Elephas maximus indicus: one gene and its partners. The protein of the gene in region 3 interacts with the protein of the main gene of each other region in a biochemical or structural test. Links are inferred from orthologs where the notes say so. Each region holds a gene or a part of one and is shown on either strand. Other genes may lie near its edges. The genes, in order: CAMK2D, NR2C1, HDAC4 and NACC1.

The links.
Region 1: of the proteins of HDAC4 (region 3) and CAMK2D, one has a biochemical effect on the other in vitro, tested with the Homo sapiens proteins (2 studies listed by BioGRID, with this or other methods). The link is inferred for Elephas maximus indicus from reciprocal best matches to the Homo sapiens genes HDAC4 and CAMK2D.
Region 2: the proteins of HDAC4 (region 3) and NR2C1 form a complex in vitro, tested with the Homo sapiens proteins (2 studies listed by BioGRID). The link is inferred for Elephas maximus indicus from reciprocal best matches to the Homo sapiens genes HDAC4 and NR2C1.
Region 4: the proteins of HDAC4 (region 3) and NACC1 form a complex in vitro, tested with the Homo sapiens proteins (2 studies listed by BioGRID). The link is inferred for Elephas maximus indicus from reciprocal best matches to the Homo sapiens genes HDAC4 and NACC1.

What each region holds. Positions count from the first base shown.
Region 1 is NC_064823.1:36,591,060-36,598,577, reverse strand, and holds the start of CAMK2D (calcium/calmodulin-dependent protein kinase type II subunit delta), read right to left. Parts: upstream 3,006-7,518; 5' UTR 2,463-3,005; coding exon 2,398-2,462; intron 823-2,397; coding exon 728-822; intron 1-727. UniProt on the Homo sapiens protein: Calcium/calmodulin-dependent protein kinase involved in the regulation of Ca(2+) homeostatis and excitation-contraction coupling (ECC) in heart by targeting ion channels, transporters and accessory proteins involved in Ca(2+) influx into the myocyte, Ca(2+) release from the sarcoplasmic reticulum (SR), SR Ca(2+) uptake and Na(+) and K(+) channel transport.
Region 2 is NC_064822.1:160,425,799-160,433,799, forward strand, and holds the start of NR2C1 (nuclear receptor subfamily 2 group C member 1), read right to left. Parts: upstream 3,002-8,001; 5' UTR 2,134-3,001; intron 827-2,133; 5' UTR 581-826; exon of another isoform or gene 1-580. UniProt on the Homo sapiens protein: Orphan nuclear receptor. Binds the IR7 element in the promoter of its own gene in an autoregulatory negative feedback mechanism. Primarily repressor of a broad range of genes.
Region 3 is NC_064824.1:141,302,565-141,310,222, reverse strand, and holds the start of HDAC4 (histone deacetylase 4), read left to right. Parts: upstream 1-4,647; 5' UTR 4,648-5,151; coding exon 5,152-5,299; intron 5,300-7,658. UniProt on the Homo sapiens protein: Responsible for the deacetylation of lysine residues on the N-terminal part of the core histones (H2A, H2B, H3 and H4).
Region 4 is NC_064821.1:31,760,318-31,767,792, reverse strand, and holds the start of NACC1 (nucleus accumbens-associated protein 1), read right to left. Parts: upstream 3,014-7,475; 5' UTR 3,007-3,013; coding exon 2,904-3,006; intron 2,402-2,903; exon of another isoform or gene 2,352-2,401; intron 1,870-2,351; exon of another isoform or gene 1,690-1,869; intron 1,666-1,689; exon of another isoform or gene 1,455-1,665; intron 1-1,454. Other genes in the region: TRMT1 (tRNA (guanine(26)-N(2))-dimethyltransferase), read left to right, coding at 3,428-3,687, 3,783-3,838, 4,084-4,226, 4,397-4,584, 5,709-5,824, 5,902-6,014, 6,867-7,015, 7,368-7,454. UniProt on the Homo sapiens protein: Functions as a transcriptional repressor. Seems to function as a transcriptional corepressor in neuronal cells through recruitment of HDAC3 and HDAC4. Contributes to tumor progression, and tumor cell proliferation and survival.

The DNA of each region.
Region 1 (7,518 bases), on a different chromosome or scaffold from region 3:
TACCGTAGACAAGTATCTTCACATAAGTTTGACGAAATAAAAAGATCACAGTGAGGTTCCTCCAAGTTTTTTTGCTTATGTCAACAGCTATTTTATGAGTAAGAATCATCTCTATGACTATAAACTGCATGTGTAAAACACATTACACGATGCTGTGAGAAGACCTAAAACAGAATACCAAGTAAAGTCTGAACTGCACACAAAAACATCAAAATTAAATCGAACTTCCTAGAATACAGTAATCATAAATTACTGTTACTGTTAAACAGGCCTTAGTGAATTACGTTCAAGTGCAACTACAATTGAAATAACATGATCCAACTGAGCTATGACCTATTTTTCCTCTCAAAAGCAAAAGGGAATTATGACAATTGTGAGACATATTTTTCCATTCCAGGGTCCTTCTGAACGTTATTTCACATTAGAACTGAAGGCAAAATACACTTAGCGACATTTATTAGCTTTAAAATATAGTTATTTATCCCACTGCTCATAGGAGAGAGAGAATTTTAATAACAATGTATTAAATAATAACAATTATATTTGCTCATTTATTTTTAAAGTGTACAAACTAAGAGTCATTCAGGAAGGAAATAACCCTAATATGTAATATGATACCTAAGTCTACAATTCAATTATAACTCTATGGCATATTCACATACAACAGAACTAACAATCAACACGACAAGCAGAAAATGAACATATATATGTGATTAAAAATACCCACCCCTAGCAGAAAGCTTTTTGGTGTTGATAATTTTGGCAGCATATTCTTGTCCAGTAGGAATTTTCATGCATCTTCTCACCACTGAGAATGCCCCCCTGAAAACCAATAATTAGCAAGTCATCAATATAATCAGCTCTGATACTCTACAAAAGAAATTACAACAATCTGAGCTTTTTTATTGATTTTAGTGGATTGTCAAATACCAGTGCACTACAGTAGTATCCAGAAAAATGAACAATCCTTCCTGGAAACCCAGACTTCTTTAATGTTGGAAAAAAACTAAATTTTATTTAACTGGGAGCCCACATAATTAATCAACAAAATGAAAGGAACTGCCAATTATGACGGCTCGTTTACACATGAAATTTGAAAACATTTTACAGTTCACACTCACACAGCACCAAATGCTCTGAGAAAACCCTGCGAAAAACAGAGCTGTGGAGGAGCAGCAAAAATCTGCTGCCTATTTATTAGGTAGGGAAAAAAATAATATGGCTCCAAGTAAGTAAATATGGCGATTATTTTCATTAAAACATAAAGCTTGAGCACATTTGCGTGGTTTAACAAATCCTGGTATGGTGATTTCTCTGTCCTGTTTTCGGGTGGGGGAGGGGAGAGTTTTGAATTAAGCTGTTCTTCCGACATATTCTCCATGTTTTAACAGCAGACAATAAATAAGGCTATGGTTTACATTGCACCTAAAAGAAATATACACTGCCTTTAATTCAACTGTATAAACCAGCAACATACACATAAACGCACCCCTTTCCTAAGTAGTAGTTGAAACTAGCTATTGAGGAATTGGGTTTGACTCCCCATAAATCAACATTCAAGGCTCGGCCCCTAGGTCCTTTTACACAGGTCCTAAGTAGGTCTCCTAACCCCCTTAACACATCCAAGTAGTTCTGCCAGTCGGGTGTAGGTCGTTTTATGCAAAGCTAGGCTGGCTACCCTTGGGAAGCGCTCTCCCGGTCGCCAGAAGGCTTTTCCGCTGCACCGTTTAAATAAATCCTCCCAGAGAACGCGAAGATGCACGCGCAAATCCTGAGAAGGATGATGGTGTGGGAGTCATCTAGTGCAAAGACTAATAGTGAACATGGGGCAGAGGGTTGGGTCCGTTGGGTGGCCCTTTTCCTGGACAGAACTACTACTAGATGCAAAATAGCCTCTACGCCAAGTTGAACTTTCGGCATCAATAAACATGGCATCTTCTGTGGCAGTAACTTCTCATCCGTGCACGGGTCCTACCGCGGACACGCCTGCTAACCCGGAGGCATCTCTATTTACAGAAAACATGATCTATGTTGCATTTTACATGGATTCTTGCTTCCTCTCCACACACACGCGCGCGAACACACACACTCCTCAGGATGACAGCTACAACTGCAGAGATCGTAAATTCACCAAGTCTCTCGGTGAAACAGGGTGGGGAGCGGGAGAGGGTGGGCTAGGGATTAGGAGAATGGGTCACAGTGAAGATAAGGGGGTCCTTCCTCTTCCCTGTCCCCGCCCCTTGCTAAGGCAGCCAGAGCGCACAAACCAGGGGCTCCCCTCCCTCTCCCCTGGTCCTCCAAACTCCCTGGCCCCAAGACAGAGGCCGGTGGGTCTGGGGCAACGCGACTCGCCATCAGCTGGAAAGGCTACGTGCGATGCCGGGCAAAGGCGCTTACTTTCCGAGCTCCTCGAAAAGCTGATATTCGTCCGTGAACCTGGTGCAGGTTGTGGTCGAAGCCATCCTCGGTCCGGGCTGCGCCCCTGGCTGGAAGCGTGGTGGACTAGACGCGAGCAGAAGCGCGGCTTCCTCGGGACTGGCCCTGCAGCGCTGTCACCTAGGGCCGCCCTCACTTTTCTGGTCCGAAAGTAGCTCGCCCAGGAGGGAGTGTGCGCAGGGGCGGGGCGGGGCGGGAGGAGAGATGACCAGAAAGAGCGCCGTGGGGTCTCCTCTCCACGGTCCGCCGATCCTACTCCTCCTCCTCGGGCCTCGCTTCCTTCTTCTTCTCTGCACTCTCCACCAGACCCTTTTCCAGCCCCTCTCTCCAAATGCAGGGGGAAAAGTACTCAAGAAGAGGGGCCCGGGAAAATGGAAAAAGAGCCGGGCACGGGGAAAGAGGCGAGCAGTTGCGAAACGTTCCGCACCGGGGATAGGAGGGGTAGTGGCAGAGGGGAGGGAGCCCGAGGGGGCGGGGGCGGAGTGCTGAGGGGCCGAGGCCGCAGAGCCCGGAGCGGGCAGCCAGAGCCCGGCAGCAGCTGTCAGCGGGCGCGGGCGCGGGGCGCGCCGGGGCTCGGTCGAGCGTGCGCGCCCGGGCCAGCCTCCCTCCCGCCGGCAGCAGCGGCACTGGGGACACTGCACCTCAGCTGCCTCGCGCAGCAAAACGAGCCCGCGCGGTTTAGAGACGGCGCCGAGAGAAAAAAAAGCGCTCGGCTCGGGCCAAGTCTCGACTGCAGTCCTCCCTTCCTCCGCCTCCTTCCCCAGCACCTCCTCCCGCCCCTCCCTCGCGAAGCCCCCTCCTCGCTGATCCCACACCTCCCTCTAGCGACTCCAACCGTCTCCCTTCGTGAAGCGTTCGCCCTCCCTCGGTCTCACACACAGGCGCGCGCGGCACATCCGTCTCGAGAGAGACCAGTGGGTGGAGGATGTGCGGGGGTTTAGGTGAATGAGGCCAGATGTCAAAATTACCAATCTAAAACCCGCGGAAAAGCTGCTGCCCGAAACTGGGACTGATTTAGTGGGACGATGCGGGGCTACTCGAGAACGACCCAGGGCAGCCTCCGGGGGTCTCGGAGCCCCAGCCTATTTTGGGAGCCGGGCCCTGAGAACCGCTCTAGGCCAACTCCCGGGCCGCGATTCACCGGGCGGGAGGGCGAGAGGCGCAACCACTTGATCTGCCGTGGTTCTGTGCTGACACAACAGGGGCCGGATGTGGGCAGCTGGCTGCTTTCAGAGAAAGTTCCCAGCTTCCCAAAGCCTCTCAGCCATTGTCGAGTCCCACCCCCGCGGCAGCCGCGTTCGCCGCGCCGCCACCCCTCAGGCGCCAGGCGCAGGTATTTTCTCTCCCTCACCGCCCGATTAGTGAGGGGGGACGCCGGCCCCTGCGCCACGTTTCGCTACTGATTTGATTGCAACTCATTCTCCACCTTCCCCGCCGCTTTCCAAGCCGGGTTGCTCAGACCCTGGCAATCCCCGAAAGCCTTTGCTTTCAGCCATGAACGTTACTAGAATGAAACCAGAAAACTCCACCACAGAGCCACACCTTCCCTTCTCTTCTGAGTAACTCCCTGTAACCTCTTTAAGTTCTGATAGTAAGGCAGGTTCTCGCGATATTTGCAGTTCCAAAGGAGGCAGAGGGCGGGGAATTAGAAAGGTTGGGTGTTGGTCATGGGACCTGGTGGGGCTGACGTCACTCACATCACGTCCAGCCCGTTTCGCTTTGCAAAAAAAAAAAGGAAAAGGAGAGCTTTGCCTGAAATGCGCTAAGCTCTGGACAGGGTAGTTACATGTGCATATACTGGGTAAATGAGTGTCTGAAAAACCGCTTAACAGTTCAAGAATGTATCCTACTGCATTTTCCAATCTGTCATTGTTTACAGTAAATACAAGAAAAAATAATTATACATTACATGTAAAAATAGACAAATTGTTGGTGATTGCTAAAACGACCCTTGGGCCTTCTTTCCAGCCCTGTGTCTTTAATCAAGTATACAGTTGCAGGTTTAGGGACAGACCACAAAACAAGAGTTATGAACGATTTTTTTGAGATCAGTGCCTTTTATTCTTCAATACAAGTAATAAAAACCTTGCAATTCTACTGCTAATTTGTTCGTCATTAGCATTACATTTTTTAAGGGACACAATTTTACAGCTGAAAAGGAAATCTCAGCCTTAAAAAGGTGGTTACTTGCTCCCAGGAGGCTGATACTAATTAATTGCCTTGCCCGTGGTCACACATAATCTTTAGGTTCTCAGATTTCCTGATTCAGGGGATGCAGTTCTACTAATAATTGAGTTTCTTCTGAATTACTCAAAATGTTCATAATTGTTAATGCTTATTACAACAAAATTGAAGTTTACATGTTTTTGTTTCTGAGTCTTAAAAACAATTAACAGTATGTAGGTCGCTATGAGTCAAAATTGACTCGACGGCACTGGGTTTGGTTTTTGGTTTTAAGGTGTGATACAGAAAAAAAAAGAAAAGAAAAACCGTAAAACTGCGTAGAGAAAAAAGTCTAAATACTAGTATTTAGGCTTTGAAGTTGAAAAAAATTTTTGTTAGGCTAAAGGTTTTTAATATATACTTTAAATGTTTAGCAATATGCTGTCTCTGAATCTAAAAATGAAACCAAAAGTAAAATTAAAACAATAAATAAATGTTATATAAGATTTTGCACCTCTGAAGGAATTGTTTTTAAAATATTCACACAATGAAGTCTACATAATTACAGTATTTGTCTTAGTTATTTAAACTACAGATACTTGTAAAGTGTTCATGATAACTGTATGGGGAAACGAAGAAAACGTAACAGTTTTAATACCGACGTATTATTAGACAATACATGAGTACATTTTGTAAGTACTCTGCTTAGTCTGTATTTGCATTGTTCTTTGATCTTTATCTTGGACTAATTAAAATGTTTCTCTTATTTAAATATTGACGAGTATTTCCGGAGTCTGAACCACTTAAAAAGATAATCAAGTCAAAGCTTTTGTCAGTACTACTTCAACATAGTTTTAGGGATCTGTTGTTGAATGCCATCTAGTCAGTTCTTTCTCATAGCAACCCTATATGACAAAGTAGAACAGTCCCATAATGTTTCCTAGGCTATATTCTTTAAGGGAGCAGATCACCAGGTCCTTTCTTTTGCCGGGCAGCTGTTGGGGTCTAACCACTTAACCATTGCAGCACAAGGGCTCCATATTTCAGGAATAATCCTACAACATAGAGTTCAATTTAAAGGGTGTAGACTCATAATAGTGGAATAAACAGTGGCTCTTATTCTTCTTGGGTTTAGTGTCGAAATGCATTTAAATTTCATCATACATACATAACTGATTCCAAAAGGGTAACACTTAAGAAGGGCAGTAGAGGGAATCCACACCCTTGTGATTATTTTATTGTTTGTTTAATTTGGCTGTCATTAATGAGGAACCAGGTTAGTATTTTCATTGACAAGATCAGGTTTTATAAACACAGAGCCAGTTATCCAGAGGTTATTATTTTGTGCTGAAATATCCTGATATGAACATGTGATAATTTTACACGCTGAATAATAATAGAAACTTGGTGTCTTACAAGGTTGTTGGAAGGCACAGTATCTTAATTATAGTGATTGAAAACATTTTTAATACAGTTTTATACCATTATTTAAGAGAATATATTTACAAGACAAAGTCCCTGGGTGGTGCAGTGGTCAACACAATCAGCTGCAAACTGAAAAGTTGGAGGTTCCAGTTCACCCAAAGGTGCCTTGGAAGAAAGTCCTGATGATCTACGTACAAAAAGTCAGCCATGGAAAACCCCGTGGAGTACAGTTCTATTCTGACGCACACGGGGTTGCCATGAGTCGGAAATGATTCCACGGCAACTGGTTTGGTTTTGATATTTGTAAGATAGTGATCATTTGCACTGTATTATTTTGACTTTTTTTCACCTCTTACACTCATTGCCTTCAAGTCGATTCCAACTCATGGCGACCCTATACATTATATAAAATTATTTCAGTGGTAGCCTAATCAGAAGTTATACCAAAATGAATTTGGACTATCGTCTCTTGCTTGTTTTGTTCAATAGCCTTCTGCCCTTGGCCTGTTCATCCTCGTCCCAGCATAACAGCCACAACGATTCTTTCAAAGCCTCAGTCAGATCAAATCATGCCTTTGCTCAAAACCTTCCCAGGGCTTCCCATCTCAAATGGACTAAACACAAAGTTCTAAAAATGGCCTACAAGGCCCTGGGAGATCTGTTCCCCGCCCTTACTCGCTCTGACCTCATCTTGTGCCCTGGATCACTCCATTTGAGCCACACTGGCCTCTTTGCTGTTCTTGGAACATACCTGGCATGCTCCTGATTAGGGACTTTCCTGTTTCCTTCTGGAGAATGTTCTTAGCTATCCTCCTGTCCCATTCCCTTACCTACTTCCAGTCATTTCTCAAACGTCACCTTATCAATAAACCATCCCTGAGTACTCTATTAGTTATTGCATCTCTTTCAGAGAGTTTTCACTCCTAGTCCAGCCTTTATATTTTCCTTAATACCTATTACATGTTAGTTGTTGTTGAGTTGGCTCAAACTCACGGCGACATTATATATAACAGAGCAAAATATTGCCCAGTCCTGTGCCATCTTTACGATATTGAGTGTCTTGTTGCAGCTCATGTGCCAGTTCATCTCACTGAGGGTTTCCCTTGCTTTCGTGGACCCTCTACTTTAAGAACATGATGTGCTTTTCTAGTGATTCGTCTTTCCTGATGATGTGTCCAAAGTAAGCAAACCAAAGTCTCACCACATTTACTTCTAAGGAATATTTCTAGTTGTATTTCAGAAAAAGTGTAACAAAACATTTTATCTGTTTTAGCAGGTGCTAAAAAATTAATATTTTTATTAAAAATAAATGTCTTAATAAACTAATTTATTTGGTCTTTTGGCAAAACCAAACCAAACCCACCGTCGTCAAGTTGATTCCGACTCACAGCGATTCTGTAGGATAGAGTAGAACTACCCCATAGAGCTTCCAAGGCTGTAAATCTTTACAGGGACAGACTACCACATCTTTCTCCTGCTGAATGGCTGGTGGGT
Region 2 (8,001 bases), on a different chromosome or scaffold from region 3:
CACAAGTACATTCACAGTGCAAACAACAGCATATGTTAAATACTAAGGGGTTCATAAAACCTCCTCGTCCAAGAATCCCAACTTAACACATGGAGTAAAATTTCAGCTACTGCCAGAACTGAGCTTCCTGAATGTGTATTTAACATATACAACTCTATGCATATTAAAAGCCACTAGAAGGTAAGAAAGGAGCCCTGGTGGTACAATGGTTAAGTGCTTGGCTGCTAACCAAAAGGTTAGGCTGTTGGAACTGACCAGCTGCTCCTCTGCGGGAGAAAAGACTTGGAGATCTGCTAGGGTGAACACTTTGCTGTCCAACTGATTCCTAATAAGGTTTCCAAGGCTGTAATTTTTATGGGAGTAGACCTACACAACTTTTTCACATGGAGCAGCTCGTCAGTTTGAGCTGCTGCCCTTTCAGGTAGCAGCCGAGTGTTTAACTATTGCACAACCAAGACTCCTCCGTAAAGATTACAGCTTAGAAAATCCTATGGGGCAGTTCTACTCTGCCCTACAGGGTCGATATGAGCAGGAATCGCTGGCACACAATAGAAAACAAGAACCATCTTTGTATCAGTACCTGGTAGAGTGCTTTGGCAAGTAGGTTCTCAGCATGTTTGCGGAACTGAATTACATCCTTATTTTCCTGCTTTGGAACCATCGGTGTCTTTTTAATGGCCAAAGAATAAGTCCTAACTCCTTGCCTTGGTATTCTTTCAGTATTTATTAAGCAACCACTACATGCCTGGCCCTGAGAAAACTATGGCGAACTCCTTTATAATTTGATTTCCTCATCTTCTCTCCTATCATTCCCAAGAGACGCCACCTATTCAGGTTAAAGTAAAAAAAAAAAAAAGATGTTACTTATTCCTCAATATATCGTTCCAATCTCCTACACTCCCTTCCCCACCCCAGCTCAGTTCAAATAGTTTTTACCCACTCTTGCCAGACTGGTCTAGTATTTACTGTGTACAGTAAGGTTGTTAACTAGGATTCATGAATAAACTCCTTTTTTTCTATTGTATGCAAAACTGTATGTGCACGTGCATTTTTCTAAGGAGGAGTCCACGGCTTTCAAAACAAGATTTTTAAAGGTTGCCGAAGGATTTTGTGATTTGGAGTCCTGGTGGTATAGTGGTTAAGAGCTCATCTGCTGAACAAAAATAGGCCAACAGTTTGAATCCACCAGACGCTCTTTGGAAACACTAAGGGGCAGTTCTACTCTGTCCTATGGGGTCGCTATGAGTCGAAATCGACTCCACAGCAATGTGTATGGAAAGAAAGTAAGGAATTATATTTCTAATATTTATTAATTATCGTATGCTACTTCTTTTGTCTTTTTTTATATCCCAAAGGTAGGAATTAGGCTCTGCGGCAGACACACAGAAGTAGGTATTTCAGGAATTTTTGCTGCCGTTGGTTTGTGTCTTCCTTAAAAGCCCAAACTTACTGGAAACTGGAGGAACCCCCAAAACTATGGCCTCCTGACACACTGTTAACCCAGAACTGAAACCATTCCCGAAGCCCACTTTTCGGACAAAGATCTGACAGGACTATAAAACAAAAAATAATACGCGTGAGGAATGTGCTTCTTTTCTTAGTTCATTCAGATACAGAAGACCAAATGGGCGGCTCCTGTCCAAACACAGGATGGAAAGTCATAAGAACTAGCCGAATGGACATGGGGCGGGGGGGGGGGGGGTCCTCACATTGGGAGGATTGCAACTAACGTCACAAAACAATGTGTACAAATTTTTGTACGAAAAATTAACCTGAGCTGTAAACTTTCACCTAAAGCACAATAAAAAACAAAATACCTCAATTCCTATAAAATTGAAATGCCTCCACAAGGAATGATGAAATTAGCAACATTTCGTGAAACCCCCCCCTTTTTTTAAGAATACAATATATTTTTCATAAGAATAAAATCTAAGTATCTTTTAGATCTACCAATCGGACATACAAAGTTGAAATACAATCTTCCTGTAACAACCAAGCACACAGCAAACACCGTTCAAAAACTTCAAGGTCAACAGCCTATTTACAACTTTCAGAGACGCAAAAACCCTAAAGGCTTTACTTTCAAGTCTTTTTTTTTCCTTTTCCTTTCCAATTGTTTTATTACAGACTGACCTACTTACTGCAGGTTACAGGGCAATTCAGCAACATTTGTAATTCATGGAACGATATCTGTGCGAGCTGAAGACAGGGTTTATTAACAAAAGCTACTGGGTGCTCGGACATGCAAAAGACACAGGTCCAAAGGCAGCGGCGACACTCTCCCCCTTCAAAATAAAATAAAAGTGAAAGTTGCGGGCGTTGTTCCGTCAGTCACTTGTAAGCACCAAAATCTGAGAGTCCCTAGGTGACAAGGGTTCAGGCCTCTGCCAGCGGCCACTCGAAGAAAGGGTCAGCCTCTCCCACGTCGGACCGCTCCCCGCGCCTCTGAGTCCCGCCAGCCGCCACGCGCCCTACAGGCCCAGCCACGGCGCGCGGCCCCTTGGGGAGGGGGAAGCGGCAGCAGCGCCGAGACGGAAGCTTTTCCTGTAGGTGAAAGGTCAGAGGCGCCGCAGGAGGCGCGGCGGGAGAGGCGGCCGTGCGCACCGAGCAGCTCGCTGACTACCTCCCGCGCCCCGCTGTGCCGCCCTCACGAGGACCCGCGTCCCCGCGCCGGTCACTCTTGGAGCCCCGCACACTCGGCCCCGCCGCTCCGGCCACTCTCCGTTCTTCCTCCCAACCCCACCTGAGCAGCCCACCGCGGCAGTGCCAGACGGGCCGGCCCTGCCGGCCGGAGCCCGCAGGCTGCGGGGGCGTCCTGCGGGTGCGTCCGTTGGCAGTTGGGTTAAAGGGACACTCTCGACCCCCGCCCCTGGTGCGGCCGCTTTTCTCCCCACCGGCGCTTCTTACCCGCGGTTCTCCGCCGCGCTCGGTCCTGTTCCGGGCGTAGACCCGACAGCCCCGCTGCGGCGGATGCTGGGGAGTTCCGGGAGGAGACAGGTTGGAGAAAGGTGGGGAGTAAGAGGACCCAGGGAGCGGGAGGAGGGAGCTTTGAGTTTGTGTATTTCGGGGGGGGGTCAGAGTTCGTGACCCCTCCCTCGGCTCCTTGGTGCGCGCTCCCGCCCGCGCCTGCGCATTAACGGTGTGGAGGAGCCGCGAGAGGGGGGCGTGACGTTCTCTGTTGGGAGGGTGGGGAGGAGGGATGAGAGGAACCCAGCCGCGGTTTTGAAAGTCGCCTGCCCCCTGTCGGCTCGGAGGGACAATGGCCGAGAGCTGTGTGTCCCCATCAGGTACTTTTAGAAGTACGGTGTTTGTCAAAAGGAAGTTTTGAGTCAACGTCTCAGATTTGAATAATAAAAATAAAACATAACCCAATTGTTTTTAGGCAATTCGGTTTCTAATTTGTGCCAAACAACTCTAGGTTTTATTAGAGGATTAACAAGATCCCAGTCAAGTATTTAAAATTTCCTTATTTAAATATAAACGAGCCGAGGCAGAATGATATATCGTAAGGCAAGGTTTTTATTTACCAATTATTGTGAGTAAATAATGGAGATGTGATTAAATGGAGCAAGAATATAATCACTAGAATGTAAGCTCCCTGAAGGCTGGTTTTTACCTGCTTTGTCAGTGGTGTATCCTCATGCACTAGGACAATGCCTGATGGTAAATAAAGGTGTTAAAGGGCACTGACAGAACATCACTTTCTGATGGTGGCCACCTGAGACAGCAAAGTGTGTGGTAGGAGCAGTTGCCCTGTATGCAAAGTACTGTGTGGTTTAGACTTTTAAGAGAAGGGATCCTCAGAATTTCCATTGTGTGGTGCGTAGGTCGTTGTTGTTGTCATCAAGTCGGTACTGACTCAGCGTCCCTGTGCACAACAGAACCAAACACTGCCCGGTCCTGCAACATTCTCACAGTTGTTGCTATGCTTGAGCCCATTATTACAGCCACAGTGTCAGTCCATCTTACTGAGGGTCAGCACTGTAGAAAAGCAGCTGCCGATTCAAGGCAGAAGCCCAAGTCAGGAAAAACAAATGTGCGTTTGGGAACCAGAACATCTCCTAGGTCATTTCCCTCTAGAACTATGCAACTGAACACATGGAAAAAGGGCATGTGGCAAGTGGAAATATAATTCATGACTCATTCTCTGTAAAAGTCCACCTCTTACTTTTACCATCATTTGTTGTGTGTTTGATGGTTTTAAGGCAAAGTACTGCCTCAATCCTGCAATCTTTAAACTGGTCCCAAAGGAGAAAGCTAAGTACACTGTAGGTCAAATGGAAAAGTAATCTGAGACCTTTTCTCTATTCTCAGGGCACAGTATGCATATCTGTAGTGATGCGCGAGATTACCCCTTATCATCTAATTAATTCACTTAAGTCACAGTAAGTTAACTTATTAAAACTTGGATGTAGAAGCCAATTTCGGAACATCATTTATGGGTGAAGGAGAGTTTTCCCTTCAGAAAAACCAAGAGGTCAGTGAGGTTCATCTTTAAATCTGTGACTCTAAAAGTTTTGGTTTAAAAGACATCACACAAGAAATAGATATTAAATTTATTTAATATAAATATACTTATTAACATTATTTACAATGCTAATTATTTATAAAGGATCTATTTCTATATGGACAATAAGAAACAGACTTATCACTTTAAAAAATGTTTCTAGAAATACATCATAAATCATTTAAAGAAACAACAGTATTTCAAGATTGTGTTCTTTCATGCCATAGGAACCCATATAAAAAACTGCCCCCCTTCATCTCTTCCCCTGTACCCAAAAAAGGAGCTTTTTGAAAATTTCTTACCTTAAAAAAAAATCCTACTAGAAAGTATTTGTCTCTTTTCTTAAAAGGGGAAAAGTCAGATAAGATTTTTTGTTTAGAAAATGACTAAAAGTATCATAAGCTCCAGGATAATGTTTGTGTATTGCAGGCACTTTTTTCTTGAAAATCAGAAGCAACTGTATTGAGCAAATATAAGTGTCCACTTCATGCAAGGCACTCTGCCCTGGGCTGTAGAGGAATCTCCAATGAACAAGATACAGTTTCGGTTCTCAAGGGCAGAATGTGACAAGCACCATAAGAAAGTGTTTATGAACGAAGAGCCACGGGAGCACTGAGGAAGGAGACACTGGATCTACTCTGGAGGAACAGGGGAGAGAAGGCTAGGATCAACTGTCACAGAGGAGGCTTTCAAGTTGGGCACTCTTGGGAAAAGTGAGAATAAAGAAAACACTGTGAACAGAGAAGGGATGGATTAGGGTTGGCTGCAGGGTATGATACCTGAGGAAAAGTAATATATAAAGGTGAGACATGGTTTGGGGCGAACTGTAATAGAATTTGCATTCCATGCCAAGCCACCTGGAAGCCACTGAAGGTTGTAATAAAAAAATATATATAATAATAGCAGGAGATAAAACTAGATTATAGCTATGCTGTAGAAAGATAGCTCTGGCAGTGCTGAAAATGGGACCACATAAAGAAGGTATTGAGGTAAGAAGAAAAGTTACTGTAATCATTGGGAAGTAGTAACAGGGACTTGAGTCAGGGCCTATGCAGTAACAATAAAAGGGCAAAAAGTAAAAGGGCAAGGAGGATGGAAAGGATACAAGGATAACTGCAAAGAGCCTTGTTGAGACTTGGAGACAGATCCCAGAGCCCAGAATGATGCCTTTCCATTATGGGTGAAAATAAAAGAAGGAGATTTGAATGGGAAGGTGAGTTGAGATTTAGTCCTATAAAATTTAAAATGCTTGAGAAGGACTCGTGTAGCTATCCAACCCACCTGTTGCCGTCGAGTCAATTCCGACTCATAGTGACACTCTAGGACACATAGAGTTTCCCAGGAGAGCCTGGTAGATTCAAACTGTCAACCTTTTGGTTAGCAGCCATAGCACTTAACCACTACGCCACCAGGGTTTCCAGCTATCTAACAGGTAGTTGCAAATGTGGCCTTGTAGGATGGTGAAGAGTATAGGTTTAAGATCTAAGTAATAATGAGGGCATTTTGGGGCTGTTTGAGTTTTAATGACAAGACTTCTGTCCTCACTTTCTTCTACTTAAAGTGGGGGGAAGTGAGAATAAAGAAGAAAACAGTAAGAACAGAAAAGGATGGGTGAGGATTAGCTGGAGGGTATGATACCTGAGGAAAAGGGTTAAGATACCTGAGGAAATACTTAATATTTTCTCTTAAAAAGCACAGGGTAGTTACTATGAAAGAAACTGCTACATTAAATACAGTATCTGCTTTCAATTCTCTGGAAATCTCAGTAATTATATTTCACTACAATGGATCTCAAACTTTCCAAAAATTTAGCACAATGAAAGTATGCATTCAAGACATATCATATACTGATATTTACATTTTAACTAAATAACCAAATAGCAGGCTTTCCCCGTTTCCAGATATATTCTACCACCCATATAAACTTGGCTAACAAAATTATACTTTAAAGCTGTCATGCTCACTGTTATGGATTGAATTGTCCCCCCCTCCCCCGGCCAAAAAAAAGTGTATCAGTTTGACTTGATCATGATTCCCAGTATTGTGTGACTGTCTACCATTTTGTCATCTGATGTGATTTTCCTGTGTTGTAAATCCTACCTGTATGATTTTAGTGAGGCAGGATTAGAAGCAGTTATGTTAATGAGGCAGGACTCAATCTACAAGATTAAGTGGTGTTTTAAGTCAGTCTCTTTTGAGATACAAAAGAGAAGGTGGGGGGACACCTCATACCAACAAGAAACAAGAGCCAGGAAAATAGCGTTGTCCTTTGGACCCAATGCCCCTGCATGGAGAAGGTCTGAGACCAGGGGAAGATTGATGACAAGGACCTTCCTCCAGAGCTAACAGAGGAATGCCTTCCCCTGGAGCTGGCACCCTGAATTCGAACTTCTAGCCTCCTTCACTGTGACAGAATAAATTTTCTTTGTTAAGGCCAACCACTTGTATGTCTGTTATGGTATCACTAGATAACTAAGACGCTCACTTAGTTGTTATATTACAGCGTTATATGAGTTAAGGGTTGGTCTGATGGTCTCATTTAAAGAAATGCTTCTAAATAATCAAGATTTTGACTGAAGAAGAGAGAATGAGCAGTGGTGGTTCCTCTATCTTGGGCAGCCAGAAGACAATAGCAGGATACTGGGTATATTAGGGAACACAGGCGAAGAGGACAGAGAGAGGTTCAGAAATGTGCGATGATGCCAAAGAGAACCTTTCTCATTTTTCCTAGGACTCTGGTGGGTCTTCTACATCTACAGCTGCTACAGCTAAAAAAGGAGCACTGGTTGGGGATAAGCACAAAAAAATGCCAGCCTTAATCTAGTTCAACCTGGTGTTCCTTGTGTAGGTTACTCTAAGCATCCATTTCAGCTTAGCTTTATAACTGCTCTCTCATGAGTAAAAGGGGATACTTGTAAAAGAATTTGATGGAAGCACATCGATTAATGTACTAAATACAGTATTCCTAGGATTAAGGTACTGGTTATACTTTCCATTTACAGAATGCAGCACATATTTTTTTTTCTCTGAAGTGTTAGCTATCAAGAGATTGATCAGTTTTAGTAAGTTATAAATGATTGATAAGGGGAGAAGTGTAATAATATTCCACATTTAAAACCTCTTTATTGGAGAAGAGGGCTATATGTTATAATTCTCAAAACCCTCCCAAGGGGCTAAGCTAAGAGCTAGTACAATCACATATGTGTTTCATATATAATTAAAGAGAATTACTAGAGGTTTCTTCTCTCTCAGTTTAAATTTAGAACTGGTTCTTGATTCAGCCAGTTGTTAGAAGATGAAATAGCCTGAATATTTTTTGAAAGTCTGAGGTTTAAGTCAAACCTTAGTCAGAAAGTAGAGAGCTCAAAGGGATGGGGAAGAATCCCAAATAACTTGTTGTGCCAAATGCTAGACCCACTGAATCAGAAAGAAATCATTTATGAGGTGTAACCTTAGTCTCCAAAAAGGAATCATTAAAAATTGCAGGGATATTA
Region 3 (7,658 bases):
ATAAGGAAGGACCTTCCCTCAGAGCCTCTGGAGAGCACGACCCTGCCGTCGCCTTAAGTTCAGACTCCTGGCCTTCGAGCTGCCACAGAACATGCCTCTGTTGTTCTGTGCCACCTACTTTGTGGTGCTTTGTTTCGGCGGCCCTCGCAGACCGATACAGTGGCTATGTAGGCTGTCTTGGCCACTTAGTGCATCCTTTCCCAGTGTGATTTTCTTTTTTTTTGGTAGTACGTGTCAGCGCTGTTGGGATCTGTTACAGCCACGATTGGGGGTTGGTTTTCAATTCCTCCTGACAGAGGTTCCTTCTCTCGTCAGTGGCTTGTTGATTAAGACGGAGGTGAGCAGTACCAGTGACCGCAGCTTCTCCTCCAGGGCCTCAGGTCCCAGGCGCCGCTTCCCGGGGCAGGCAGCCAGCAGAGTGAAGCTGCAGGTTAGACACCACCGTGCCAGTGGGCATCTTCTTCTGGTGTGGGGAGGGGGAGAGCTGTGGAGGGCACGTGCACTACGGGCCATGTCGTGGATGGTGTCCCCACTCTGTAAACCCGGGGAGGCAGCCCCTGTGGCATTGGGATGGTACAGCAGGTGGAGCCTGCCGCCTGAGTCAGGACAGCCGCGTTGTTGCCGTGTGGCCCTGAGAACACTGTCTGAGCCTCTGAGCCTCTGTGGTGTTGTTGGGCAGCGGAGCTGATGCCAGCTTGTGGGTTGCTGGGAGATGTGAGAACTGCTGGGACAGCCAGTGGGCACAGGTAGGCTCCCAGGGTTCGCGCTGGTGAGTCTTTCAGTTGGGGGCTCCAGGGGACATGTGGAGAAGGTGCCATTGGGGCAGTCCCTCTGTGCTCACTTGTCCTCGGCTTTTCCCAAAGTGCACTGCTTAGCTGGGCCTGTGGTCACACGTGCCTGGGCCTGCAGTGTTGGATGGCCACCACGTGTGTACTCCCCAGCTTGCTCGGGCTCCCAGAGGGCCAGTCCCTGGCCGAGAGCTCTTGGGCCGGCAGTGACCACAGAGGCTTCTGTGCAGGGGCAAGGCTGAGGGGCCCTGCCTGGAGATGGGTAAGCAAAGTCCTCATCCCACCCTGCATCACCCAGGGCTTAGTGAGAGAAAGGCTGTCCCAGAGGGAGCCGCAGTGGTGTCCTGACCAAGCCCTGCACCTGGCCTGCAGGACATGGTGGCGCCTCTCCTTGGGGACCTGCCCCCAGGCCTCGGCTCGCAGCTCCATCCTGGTGTTTGCAAGCAAGGCCCGTGCCCTGGGGCTTCGGGGGTGCCATTCCCTCTCTTTATTCTGGAGCATACACCACCCCAGCCTACCATGTAGGAAAGCTGTCTGAGGTAGGACTGTGGCAGTGCCCCGGCCATGGCACGGGCATGGGAGCCTTCCTGGGGGCTTCCCCATTGGTGCTGGGGGAGACGGCCTGCCTCATCTGGTGGCTTAGCCAGTGGGGTGCAGGTGTAGGAGCTGCGGCCTCCATTGTGGGTGCAGAGGAAGAGGAAGGAGGGGTGAGAGACAGGTGGGTGGCCATCACTGGCCCTCTGGCTTTTGACCTTTGGTGGTCCCCTAGGCTCCTGAGTGAAGAGGCTACCAGGGGCCCCTTCTCAGGAGCAGTAGGGGAGCTGGGGAAGAGCATTTGAGCTGCTCTCACTCCCCAGGAGCGGAATTTGCTTTTCCATCATCTCTCACCACCTCTCAGCCACGTTCTGGGCTTGGGCTGGAATCTCCCCACCCCGCTGGTTTAGACACATGTGGCTGATGCTGACGTGTGTCCGCCAGGCTTACAAACCTTGATTTGCCTTTATGGGAGGGGTGGGATCCTTTTCTTTGGTTTGACTGCTCAGGACTGATACCCTCAGAGAGCAGGGCCAGCGCCGAGCAGGCGCACGGTGGACAGAAGTGCGGTAACCTCCCAGGGGTGGGAAACCAGCCTGTCTCAGGCTGAAAGGCCGCAGGCATCACCCTAGGGTTTGGAAGGGTGCTCATAGCAGGTGACAGGATGATGGCTCCGTGCTGGCTGAAGAATGTGGCTCAGACAGGCTGACGTCAGCTTTGTCCTAGGGCTTGTCACTGGATGTGGATGCCACCTAAGTCAGAGGCCAGGCTGTGGAGACAGGGTTCAGCATTTCATCCTGTGTCTCTTTTAGAGGAAGGGTGTTGGCATGGTGATGAGGGCCACCTTCAATGGTTCCTGGGCCCAGTGCGCCTGGCTGTGGACATCTGTGCAGTGACACGAGCACTGCTTGCTACCCCTTCCCATGGGCCCTGCTTTAACTCCATCAGCACAACAGGAAGAGAACACACATGTCTGCAGAGAGGGACCCAGCTTAGGGAAGTGATGTTCCAGGCTACTAAATGAAAAACAAACAAACAAACAAAAAAACAAACCCATTGCCATCAAGTCGATTCCGACTGATAGCGACCCTGTAGGACAGAGTAGAACTGCCCCATAAGGTTTCCAAGGAACGCCTGGTGGATTCAAACTGCAGATTTTGGTTAGCAGCTATAGCTTTTAACCACTATGCTGCCAGGGTTTCCAAAGGAGTCCCCATATAGTTCTACTGGGGCTTGAACCCAGGACCTTCTGCGTGTAAAGCAGACGTGATAACTGCTACACTATGGAATTGCTTAAATGAAAGGGTATGTTAAAGGATGAAGAAGAGTTGCCTGTTGGTTGAGGGTGTCCAGCTGGCTGGGTGGCATGTGGGGCCTGAGTTTGGAGGGTCTGTACACTCTCGGGCGTGCTCTGTGAAGCCAGCTCGGCTCTGAGCCCTGTCCTTGTGCGTACGCTGGCTCAGCCTTCAGTGTCCAGGTCCTCCTTTGTTTTGGGCACCTGTCTGCTGATGCCACCTGCACCTTTGCCTTCTCACCCTGTAAGGGCCAGAGAGAAGGGCATAACCAAGCTCCTAGTGACGGGCAGCCGCTGGCTGCCCGTGTCCTGGTGTATGCTCTCCATCTGCTCCGAAGTTCCACCCCACACTGCCCGCAGGACTCAAGCTAAGTGGCATCTCCTAGCGAGGACTTCCCTCCACCCAAGCCTCGTGTTCTTGGTGGGCAGTACTCTCTCCTGTAGATAAACTTTCATTCTTGTTGAGTGCCGCACGTGCATGGCTTTTCCTCAGTGAGCATCCCCAGGCCCTGGTTCAGGAGGAGAGTCAGCTGACCACCACGCTGGCTCTGGAGTTGAGTGTGCTCTCACAGAGCCCTGGACCACTGTGGGGCTTGGGCTCCCACCCACGTCGGGGACAAGAACTGGCCCCAGGTCCGTGGACGCTTCGGTTTCCCCCTCATCCGTCGGCCCTCATGCTCCAGGGCATCAGTAAGGAGATGTTGTCAGAGGCCTGTCTCTCACGGATGGAACTGTTCACTTGGCTGAAATGATTGCTCTGGACTGTGCGCCCCGGGGTTTCGCTTCTGACCACCTGCCGCATGTGACACCTAAGGTACCTGGCTCCTCAGGTCGTCACTGCCACTGTGGGAGCAGGCTGTCTTGACTGAAGACAGTGGCCACTCGTACATGGAATGCTACTCAGCCGTGAAGAGCGAATGAACCTGTGCTGAGCAGGGCAGTGGATGCTTGCACACGGGATGCTTCTCGTGTGGGATGCTGCCGATGTGTGGAATACCACTCAGACGTGGGAAGCAGCACACACGTGGGACGCCGCCCACGGGTGAAACGCCGCGCACACGTGGGACGCCACTCACGGGTGGAACGCCGCACACACGTGGGACGCCACTCACGGGTGGAACGCCGCGCACACGTGGGACGCCACTCACGGGTGGAACGCCGCTCCCACGTGGGACGCCACTCACGGGTGGAACGCCGCGCACACGTGGGACGCCACTCACGGGTGGAACGCCGCGCACACGTGGGACGCCACTCACAGGTGGAATACTGTGCATATGTGGGACACCACTCGTGGAATACTGCTCACACGTGGGACACCACTCACAGGTGGAATGTCGCTCACACGTGAGACGCCACTCACGGGTGGAATACTGCTCACACGTGGGACGCCGCTCACGGGTGGAATACTGCTCAATGTGGGACACCACTCATAGGTGGAATACTACCCACATGTGGGACACCACTCATAGGTGGAACACCATTCTCAGGTGGGACACCATTCACAGGTGGAATACTGCTCACACGTGGGATGCCACTCACACGTGGAATGCAGCTCACATGTGGGACACCACTCACACGTGGAATACTGCTCACATGTGGGACGCCGCTCACGTGTGGGGCGTCCCTCATGCATGGGACACTGCTCACATGTGGGATGCTGCTCCCATGTGTGACAGTGCTCACACGTGGGATCCCACTGAGCTGTGAAGAAAAATGAAGTCCTGATACATGCCACAACACAGATAACCTTATTCTGAGCAGGATGATGGCTGATCACGGAGCTCCAGGCTCCTGCCTGATGCTGGCTGGCAGTGGCGACCTGGGCCAACCCCTCCCCCGTGCCTTCAGAGGCAGCTGGTGGTATGTCTGGGAGCAGCTTCAGGAGTGCGCCAAGGGGCTGCGTGTTTCCACGTTGGCCATTGCAACATCATAGCCTGCAGTGCACGCTGGAATGTCCTACTAAACAACAACTGCCCTTACAGCTTCCCAACTAAGCTGGGGGTGGGGTGGGTAGGGCGCTTTCTTCCCAGATAAGGCTCCTCAAGTTCCTGGAATGCTTACGCCTGGGGTGGAGAAACCCTACATGACTTGAACTCTTCTTCACACGTAAGTCCCCCACGTCCCGTCCGCCGCACAGACGCCCGGCCCTTTCTGGTTGCGATCATGCAGTCAGTCAGTCCAGCCCGGAAGTGCAGTTCCCCACATCTTCTACAGCTAACAAACACCTCACTTCAGGTGCCCTAAAATCAAATTCAGGCTGCGGAGAGGTTATAGTGCTCTCAAACTTGTACGTGGAAGCAGAGGGAGAGAACTGGCCTTGTAAATGAGCGAGTGCCCCAGAAGGCGGTGCCTTGCTCCTGACCTCCAGGGCACTTGAGGTGCGAGCTGGTGGGAGCTTGGGCGACATGGCCCCGCACAAAATCGGGTTTGGCAGAACGCTCACTCATGGGCCGGAAAGTAAACAGTGGTGTCGAGCCTTCTGCGTGAGCCCGTGTATCATCTGCTTGTTATGTAATCTGACAACACGGGTATGAAATGGAAACCAGATGTCAGGGCGGAGCGCTGGAATTCTTCAGCCGTGAGTGCCGGGAGGCGGGTGTGAGTTTGCTTCTCTGTGAAGGCCCAGCAGCTCTGGGAGGGCAGGCTGGAGGGTCCTGGGAGCCAAGCAGACGTCTCGGAGAAGGTAAAGTATGAACCCGGAGTCTTTTGAAAAACGTGTGCCGCTGCTCTGTGCTTGTTACATAGCTGTGCGGGGACTCGGCACGGCGACCTGGTGGCTGGCCGTCTAGAAGCGGCTCAGAGCATGGAAACTCGGCGAGGGGCCCCTGGCATCCTGCTACTGATGGCTGGTCGCAGGGCCTGGGTTTAGAGTGAGAGGGGCATGGACGGGCACGTGCCGTTTCTCTGGTGGTGGCTGGGTTGTGTGGTGGGAGGGGTGGAAGCGCGTCATTTCGGCGCTCGCTCCTGCACACGTGCAGCTGTGGCGATAGTGGCTCCTGGCGCACAGCAGACCACAGTGCTGGGGCGCCCAGAGGCAGGGACTTGGGATTCTGCTGTGGCCAAGCCCCCTGCCAGTGGCCCTGTGGGTGCCAGAGGGTGACTGCATCTCCTCTCCTGGCCTGGCCCCTCTCGTGCTCTGTGGAACGCCCTGGGATGTGGGTCCTTGACTTGCCACATTCACGCCTTTCTGATCTAGAAAATCAGACTCACCGAGATCAGGAGCAGAGCGCCTCACCTGCTGAAGCAATGGCTAGCCACAGTGGTAGTTCCATATTTGATCTCAACTAAAACCCCAAGTGTCTCTGCTGTGGTAGCCGAGGTTTCACATCTACAGACCCCTTACTTTGCTCATATCCTCCTCTGGGAACCCTACGGGGCCGTGACCCTGTACTCCTGTTAATGCCATGCCGAATTCTTAGACACCACTCGGGTTATCCGTCCGTCCTGTTTCATTAGGCACCCAGCTCGGGGGCCAGAGGAGATCTGTGGCTCCTTCTGATCCCCTGGGTTTCCAGCTTTCTTACCTGTAAAACGATAGCTGACGAGTCTGGGGTGCTTTCTGCATGCTGGGCCTGTGCACAAAGTGTGTTAGTGCAATTTGTTACGTGATTCTCAAAACACACCCTGGAAGTAGGTGCCTTTGGGACACCATTTTACAGCAGGGAGAACTGAGGCCCAGGCAGGTTGAACGACTGGCTGAGGGTCCCACTGTTCGGGGGCTGTGCTGGCTTTGCACCCAGGCAGCATGCCCCAGAGCCACCGTGCGGCATGTCTCTGGTCTCTCCTGGCTTGTAGTTCTGGGTCCCTTGCTTCAGGGTGGACGAGGGCACTTCACCGTGCTTGCCGGTGGCCTTTGGGTGTCCAGTTTGGAGGAACCCCAGTGCCGGGGAAAGTGTAGTCCTGACGTGGGCGTGCTCCAGTCTGCAGTCCTAAGTCCTGGGCGATGTTACGCCACATGGTGACCCCGGGAAAAAGATTTGATGTGCTCCTGCGCCCTTGCTCCATTTTGCTTGTTCCGAAAGGGAACTAAAAACAAACCCAGCCCACACCGTTGGGTCAGACGGAATGTGGGAGTCAGAGACTTATCTAAGTGGAATTTCTCTTGGAGCCTTTCCTTGATCCAGAGTTGTCCTTAATGTTTTGAAAAGCACGTTAGAGATACCAGGCATGCTGAGAGGCCTGGGCGGCCACTGCTGTTCTGTGCATGAGAGGTGGGACTGCACAGACCGTCCAGAGGACACATCTGTCTGTCTTTGTGACCACCAACCCCCTCGGGCCTTGGGCAGGGTCCCAGCGGTTGGGCTGGAGCCGGGGTAGGAGGCCCCATGTGGGGATCCTTGACCTTGGAACCCCCACTCCCCATGGCATCACTTGGGAGGCTGCTGCCTGGGGAGATTTGGGCTCTGCATCCCCATGGTTCTAAATAACACCGCTTCTTGCTTCTGGACACACTCCGTCTGTCCCGAGGTCCTTCCCGCCCTGGGTGGCCATCGGGGTGCAGCCCCAGGCCTTGGGCTGGGCACCAGTGTACTTTCTCTTGCTGAATCGCTCCTGCCCGGGGCCACATGGTGGCAGGATCCAAAGTGGGGCACCCCTCATCTATTGATGGGGGTCGCCTGCGGGACCCTTGAGGCGGGGGGGTGGGGCCACTTGCTTTGCTCTTGCCACCCCCCACCCCGCCTTTATCTGCGTTTAAAAATAGGCAGGCCTGGTGCCAGGCCCAGGCTGAAGGCCACTTCTTGCCAGCCCCGAGGTGATAGGGCTGCACAGGGGGTGGAGTGAGCCAGGAGTACAGGGTGGGGGTGGCCCTCAAGGGCCCGCGGAGCCACCCAAGGCGGCCTATGGAAGTCGAGTGAGGCATCTGAGTACTTCTTTTAAATGAAGACATCTTATCCCACTTCTTTTTTGCACTGTAGTCGGGAAGGTCATGAACTGGAGTGTCAGCAGCACCAGGCCAGGTGTGCCTTGCAGAGAGGCCTAATGAGAACACGGGCGTGTGTAATGCAGGACCCTTGGAGTTTGGGTCAGGGATCAGAGCAGTG
Region 4 (7,475 bases), on a different chromosome or scaffold from region 3:
CTCAGCACCCAGAGACACCAGGAAGACTCAGTCCGTCCACAAGTATACTGACCTTACCCCTCCCTGCACAGGAAGAAAGGCCAGGAAAGAGGGATCTGAGAGAATCCCCACCTGGGCATCCAGAAGAAAGCGATGCTCCTCCAGGTATGCCCCTAGAAGGCCAACTCGGGGATTGTGGGGGGCTAGGGGGTGGGGCCAAGAGTCACTCCAGCTCTGCCCCATCTAGCTGTGTGATTTGCTACACCATCTCCTGAGTTTCTACTTCCTCGTCTATCCTATGGAGAAGGCCTGAGCTCAGCTGGTGGTGAGCAATCAGTGAGCTAACCCAATAGACCAGCAAGCTCAGCACAGGGCCTAGTCCAGGATGAGTACCCCAGAGGCAGCACTCTGGGTAACTCAAGAGGCTGGGTTGGAGTGTGGGTACCTGATTTGATCCCCTTCTCTCTGACCTGCCTTCACTCTGTCAGAAGTTTCTAAGACACAACGGGGCTGTATTTGCTCCGCTCCCCAATTCTTCACCTCTAGTAAAAGAACACACAGAACTCAGGTTCAGGGCGCTGGTGCCTGGGAGCCCTTGAAAAGGGCTCTAGGTCCCGTCCCCTAGACTTGAGCTTTAAGGCTCTGGTCACAAAAAGTGGGGATAGAATCCAGGACCCTAAAATACCCATGTCTACTGGGCTGCCTTCCTGCAGCTATATGGGGTGGGTGATGCCCACCTCCGTGATAAACAAGATGCCTGAGCTAGGTGTTCCAGGCTATTTCCCGAGCTGCCCACACAAACACCCACCAGGCTGGCCGGTGCCTCGAAACAGCCAGTAGAGGCCTGCCCAAGGGGTAGGACGAGAACTCAGGCTTCAGGGATGGGATGTGGGAAAGAAGAGCCCTCCCCAGGTTCGGCTTTGAGCTAACACCCGAGAGTGGCCACACCTTAGCATGTGCCTTCTGATCAAAATGTCTTTCCCGACCCATTCCCACACTCCCACCATCCAGGCCCAAAGTCTCTGCCTCCCTCCACTCCCCAGGTTCCTACAGTACTCGGTCACCCTACCTGATCTCCCCCAGATCTAGCCTCTGCCCCACCTCTCTGAGCTCTGACCTCATGTGACCCCTGCAAACATCTCCGGGATCTCCTATCCTCCCCCACCCGAACTAACTCCGCCCACACCCACCCTGTCCCACTTCCTTGGCCGCCCCCAGGCCTGTAACTTGACCCACCTCCTCAGCGCCCGGACCGTACCTGCAAGCCCGGCCCCGCCCCGACACCGCCCCCCCCCCCCGCCCCGGGCCGTTTCCCTCCGGCCGCGCCGCTCTCCCCTCTCCCCCCGCTCGGCCGGCCCAGTGCCCGACTCCTCTTTCCCCTCCGGCCTCCCCGGGCGCCTCATCAGTTTTTCTCCTCAGGCCCTCCAAGTTCTTCCCGGCACCTGCCCCAGCCCGGCCTCGCCCACCCTCCTTGCCTGGAGAAGGGGGTCCGGGTCAGATTCTGCCGCCCCCAGGCCCCGCGGCCCGGCCTGGCCCAGGCTGGACGCTCAAGGCCGCCCGCGGTGGCCAGGCCTCTCCGCACTCGCTGGCCCGGGCACCGGGAAAGCTGCGGGCTCAGCTCCTCCTTCCGAGGAGGAAGCCCCTCAGCCCTCTGCCCTCAGCCTTGGGACGCCCTCCGGTCGCCCCGGGGCCTGAGGTGGGCCCCCTCACCTGCGCCGCGGCCGCGCTCCGGGGGCTCCCGGCGGACTCAGCAGCGGCGGCTGGGGCCGGCCTGGGCCCGGGGCGCGCCCCCCTCCGCCGGGGCCTCGGCCTCCGCCTCCGCGGCCTCCGCGGCCTCCGCCTCAGCAGCAGCGGCAGCCGCGGCGGCCATTCATTGTGGGCCAGGCCGCCCCAGCCGAGCGCCGAGCGAGCGCAGGCCGCGCGCCGCCGCAGCCCGGCCGGGGGAGGAGCGGCCGCGGCCCCGCCTGCACACCGCCCCCACGTCCCGCCCCCAGGCGCGGCCAGCAGAGCGTCGAGCGCACCCCCTTCCTCCCGGCTCGGGCTCCTCCCTCTGTCCCTCGGGATCCCCTCCAGTAACTCGACTTTGCTCACGAGTTCGAATCCCGACCCCGCCACTTTCTAGCCCCGCGACCTTGGGGCAGTCGCTTTGTCTCTCCGAACCTCAGTTTCTTATAAAACGAAAACAACGAGGGCTGCTATTTACTGAGCCAGGCACTGTTTTAGGTTCTTTATGAGAACGACTTTGCTTAAGCTTCACAGAAACATTTTTTAAATAGAAATTATCACACGCACACACAGGCACGCACAGCTTTCTAGAAGAGAGATAAAAGAATTTGCTCAAGATGATTCAGTAACAAAGCGGTGGTGGGTACCTGACTTCAAACCTAGGCTCAGGAAGCGGCAATAAAAGCTAACGTTCCTACGACGTTTTCAAGACGCCAGGTTCCGTTCTGCGCATTTTACCTGCACTAAACTGGTTTATTTTTCACCGCAACTCAATGACAAACGTTAAAAAGTTCTGCCCATTTTGTAAATGGAGTAACTGAAGCACAGAGAGGGTTAAGATCAAGTAGCCAGCAGCAAAACTGGACTGGAACCCAGTTGGCCAAACACTGTTTTCCTGCGTTCATATACCATTTAGCACCTCCTCAGGGGAGCTGCCTTGAACACTTTCCAAGCATTCTGTCGTTTAATCTTTGCTCTATCTTGGAAGTTAGGATCCCTATTGTAAAGGTAAGGAAAGTGAGGCCCAGAGAATTTAAATAACTTGCCCAGAGCATGTGGTAGGACTGGGGTTCAAATTCAGTAAGTCTGATTCCAGAGCCTCAAGTTATTCCTGTTACGCTGGAGGGTGCTCTGAAACAATGTGTATACAGCATCCGACACAAAGTAGAGGATTAATAGGTGTTGGATTTTTCGCTTACCGCCCCTTTTCTGAGCTTCAACTTTCTCATGTGTGAAACGGGTTTGGTGGCATGCTTCCCTCCCAGGGGATCTGCTGTTATTAAATCCACTTGTACAGCACATTCAGCGCGCATCATTCCCACTGTACATTTTGATCCCGGTCGCCTACCGTACTTAGCATCGCTGATTGGCTGAACTGGTCACATGATCCACCCGCCTACTGTGCCAACATGGCGGCGCCCAGGTCCTAATTTAGGAAACGTGCACCGAGACCTATCTCCTTCTTGGTTTCCGGAGAAAAGGTAAAGAGGGCCTACGCGGCACGGGGAGGTATCCAGACCGGGGACAAGTCCGCTCCGAGGGCTTCCGGCTGGTCCCCGGAAGAAGGGGGAGGTGTCAGCGTCCCGAGGCCGCAAGGTCTTCTTAGCCTTCACTTTCAGATGTCTAGGCCACCCCTGGCCCAGAACGTAGCCCTCTCTGATCCTCTGTCGATCCCCCACTCTTCTACTCCCCAATCAGGAGTGACGGACAGAGACGCCCGCGGATGTCCCGCGCAAGGATCCTTCTGTGGCTAAGCCTCACCCATCGCTCCTCCCGCAGTCTCTGTAGAGCCCGCAGTATGGAGGGGCAGCCCCAAGAGCCGCCGAATCCGGACGCGATGGAGAACGGCACCGGGAACAGCGGAGAAGAGCGCCCACCTGAGGCCCAGGAGATTACAATCACCGAAGGGGCCGCCAAGATCGCTTTCCCCAGTGCCAACGAAGTCTTCTACAACCCGGTTCAGGAGTTCAACCGGGACCTGACGTGAGCAGGGGGTCAGGGGTCAGCCTGGCTGAGGGCAGGAGGCTGTGGGTCGGTGAGGCGAAAGAGGTGTGAACTGATCTTCCGTGTCCTGTCAGATGTGCTGTGATCACCGAGTTTGCTCGCATTCAGCTTCAAACCAAAGGAATTCACAGTGAGTCGGGGTCCAAGCTCCTGGTGGGTGGGGATTACACAAAGCTCTCCCTGCCTCACAACCGCATTTCCCATCCCCAGAAGGTGCCAGCCACATAGCAGGCCCTGGACTCTGCTCCATCAGCTTTTCCCCAGGGGGTTTGGGGAAGATTTTCCTCCATGAGCCTTCTGTTTTCTGAAGAGTTAGGGGAGATTTCTCAGAGGGGACTTTGATATCGTTTGAATCATGCTTCTGGATGGCTGCAGTCAAGGTGCCAGGTGAGAAGGACGTGCAAAAGTTGGTCGTGGACCTGTCAGAGCAAGAGGAGGACAAGGCTGAACTGAAAGAGGGGGAAAACCTGGCCCCAGGAGACCAGCCTCGAACAGCATCCGTGAGGGAGCTCTGTGAGGTGGGGCCTGAGCACAGGCAGTGGGAACCCTGGAGTTCAGTGGGTGATGGAGGGAAGAGGGCTCCTGAAGTAGGAGATCTAAATGAGGTGGGGGGCAGGGGAAGACTCCTAGGAGCTCAGCAGAAAACAGAGGTATGGATGTGAGTGAGGTTACCCGTATACCCCAACAGGAAGGCCTACGGGTGCTGGAGGGCCTGGCAGCCTCAGGCTTGCGTTCCATTCGCTTTGCCCAAGAAGTGCCTGGGCTTCAATCTGTGATCGCCAATGACGCCTCCTCCCGAGCTGTGGACCTCATACGCCGCAATGTGCAGCTCAACGATGTGGCCCACCTTGTACAGCCCAGCCGGGCAGATGCCCGGTAGGTATGGGGCAGAAAAGCCTAGTGTCCAGAAAATGGGCTCTGGAGCCAGGCTTCCTGATGTCACATCCTGGCTCTCATATTCTGGCTATGTGACCTTGGGCAAATGACTTAGCCTCTTTGAGCCTCAGTTGTCTAATCTGTAAAATGAACACAATGGTTTTACAGCCGCTACCATGATGATTAAATGATAGAAAATTCTTATATAGTCTTAACTCTGTCCAAAGATAAGTACCATTGTCATCTCTGTTTTAGACTTAACCTTTTGTACTTCTTTTATTGTTATTCAAATGAAGCTGGTGTGTATAGAGTGCCAGTATGTGGCAGGCACCATTCTTTGCAGCAGAATGCATCAGTAAACAAAACAAAATCCCTGACTTGGTGTTTTTGTTCTAAGGAAGGGGTTGGCAAACTGCAGCCTGGTTTTGCATGATCTTTGACCTATGAATGCTTTTTACATTTTTAAAAAGCTAAAAAAAAAAAAGAATACGGAGTAGAGACTATGTGTCTACAAAGCCTGAAATGTTTACTATCTGACCCTTTACAGAACAACTGTTCTGACCCCAATAGAGTCTAACTGGAAACAGATGATAACAAAACAAATGTGCAAATAAGGAAAAAAAAACTGAAACAAAAGCAACCCTTTACCGTTGAGTCAATTCCGACTCCTGTCGACCCTATAAATCATAGAGTAAACTGGAAGTGAAACGTACTATGGAAAAAATAGAGGGGAAGGAGATGAAGGCAGCCAGCAGAAGGGCTTACAATTTTAAGCAGTGTGGTCAGGGTAGGTAGGCTGCATTGAGAAAGTGGCAAAGGGAGCCACAGTAGTTCCCAGTCCATGAAGTTGTTTGGAGAATCGAATGAGTAATACTTCTATAAACTGCTTGAAACAGTGCTGAGCATGTCAGTGCTGTGTCAACGTTAACTATTATTATCATTGGTATAGATGGGTAGACTGAGGCCCAAGGAGGCAAAGCTGTGCAGTTAGTAAATGGTCAAGCCAGGACTTGAACCCAGGTAGCTGGGCCTGAGTCTAGGCCAAAACCACTCAGCTGTCTGAGATGACACATGTAGGGGAGGGGACCGGCCCTGCACTGAAGGCCTGGCCCTCTCACACCCAGGATGCTGATGTACCAGCACCAGAGGGTGTCAGAACGCTTTGATGTCATCGACCTGGACCCCTATGGGAGCCCCACCCCGTTCCTGGATGCCGCAGTGCAGGCTGTGAGTGAAGGAGGTAAGGCCGGGGCTGATACCACGAGAAGCAGGGCTTGGGCTGTTTGGAGGGTCCTCACTGCCCACTCCTGTCTGCAGGGTTGCTGTGTGTGACCTGCACAGACATGGCGGTGCTAGCAGGAAACAGCGGGGAAACATGCTACAGCAAGTACGGGGCGATGGCCCTCAAGAGCCGGGCCTGCCACGAGATGGTGAGCCCTCCACGCCAGGGCCACCCTCCCACCCCAGGCAGCCAGGGCCAGATTCATGCCCGAGTGTGAGTGACAAGCTCCTCTCTAACTGGCAGAGTTGCTCAGAGCATGGGCTGTCCATCTCGGTCATTGCAGGGCACTGGCTTTGCCCAGGGTCAGAGTGGGTAGTTCCATTATTCTTTCTAGTATTGTGAATTTTAAAAACTTTTCAAAATCGTCTTTTGTAAGGCAGTTTTTCCAGATCTAGCTTCAAAGCCTAGCTTTGCTGATATCTTTAGGCAACAAGTGACTTCTCTCTGGGCCTCAGTTTTTGATTCTGTAAAATGAGTGTGATGATGGTTATGGGGATTCGAGAAAGCAGGGGCAGGAGGCACTCTTGTCCTTGTTCCTTAAGGGCTCTGTCATCAGAGCGCTCTGGCAAATGCTTCCTCCTTCTCCTTGTCGGAGCCTCACAGCGGCTCCTGGTGAGAGAAGGCTCTAGTGGTTCTGCTGCACCCAGTGTCCCCACACTTCCTGCCCACAGAGCCCATGGTGGCCGGGACTCAGGTCCTTGGCCACAGCCCACCCCAAGGAGTACTGACATCTATGCTTATCAGATCTTCGGCTGGGTCTGTGCATTCCTTCACTCGCTTAATGCCCCAGCAGTGCTCTGAGAGACGGGCTGCTGAACTCTGGCGATGAGCTAACTGAGGCACAGAGAGGCAGAGCTCACTTGCTGAAGGTCACACAGCCAGGATGTGACAGGGGCGGGACTGGAACCCAAGGAGCCAGCCCCAGCCTGTACTGTGAGCTGCTTTTCAGCTAGGGGGAAGGGCAGGGGCAAGGTGCTAATGCCCATCCCCTGGCCACCAGGCCCTGAGGATTGTACTGCACAGCCTGGACCTCCGGGCCAACTGCTACCAGCGCTTCGTGGTACCTTTGCTCAGCATCAGTGCCGACTTCTACGTGCGAGTATTTGTCCGCGTCTTCACTGGCCAGGCGAAGGTCAAGGCCTCAGCCAGGTTGGGCTGGGTTAGGGGTGCAGCAGGATGGATTGAGGGAAGAGACAGGACCCTGACTTGGGGAGTGGGGGGACACGTTCCTGCTCTTGGGGTATGAGGGACATGGTCCTGCCCTGGGAGAAAGGGAGGAAATGGTCCTGCCCTGAGGGATTGGGGGATGTAGTCCTGCCCCGGGGGAATGGGGGACATGGTCCTGCCCTGGGGGGATGGGGAATATGGTCCTGCCCCAGGGGAATGGGGGGACACAGTCCTGCACTGTAGAGTCTGAAGGGATCTGAGCCAGCCTTAGGGAGGAGTTGGGGTGTGGGGGCGCGCTGGGCCTAGAACTTAAGCCACCCTCCCTTGCCCTCAGCAAGCAGGCCCTGGTGTTCCAGTGTGTGGGCTGTGGGGCCTTCCACCTTCAGCGCCTTGGCAGAGCATCAGGAGCCTCCGAGAGCCGGTGAGCAAGGGTCAGCTGGGA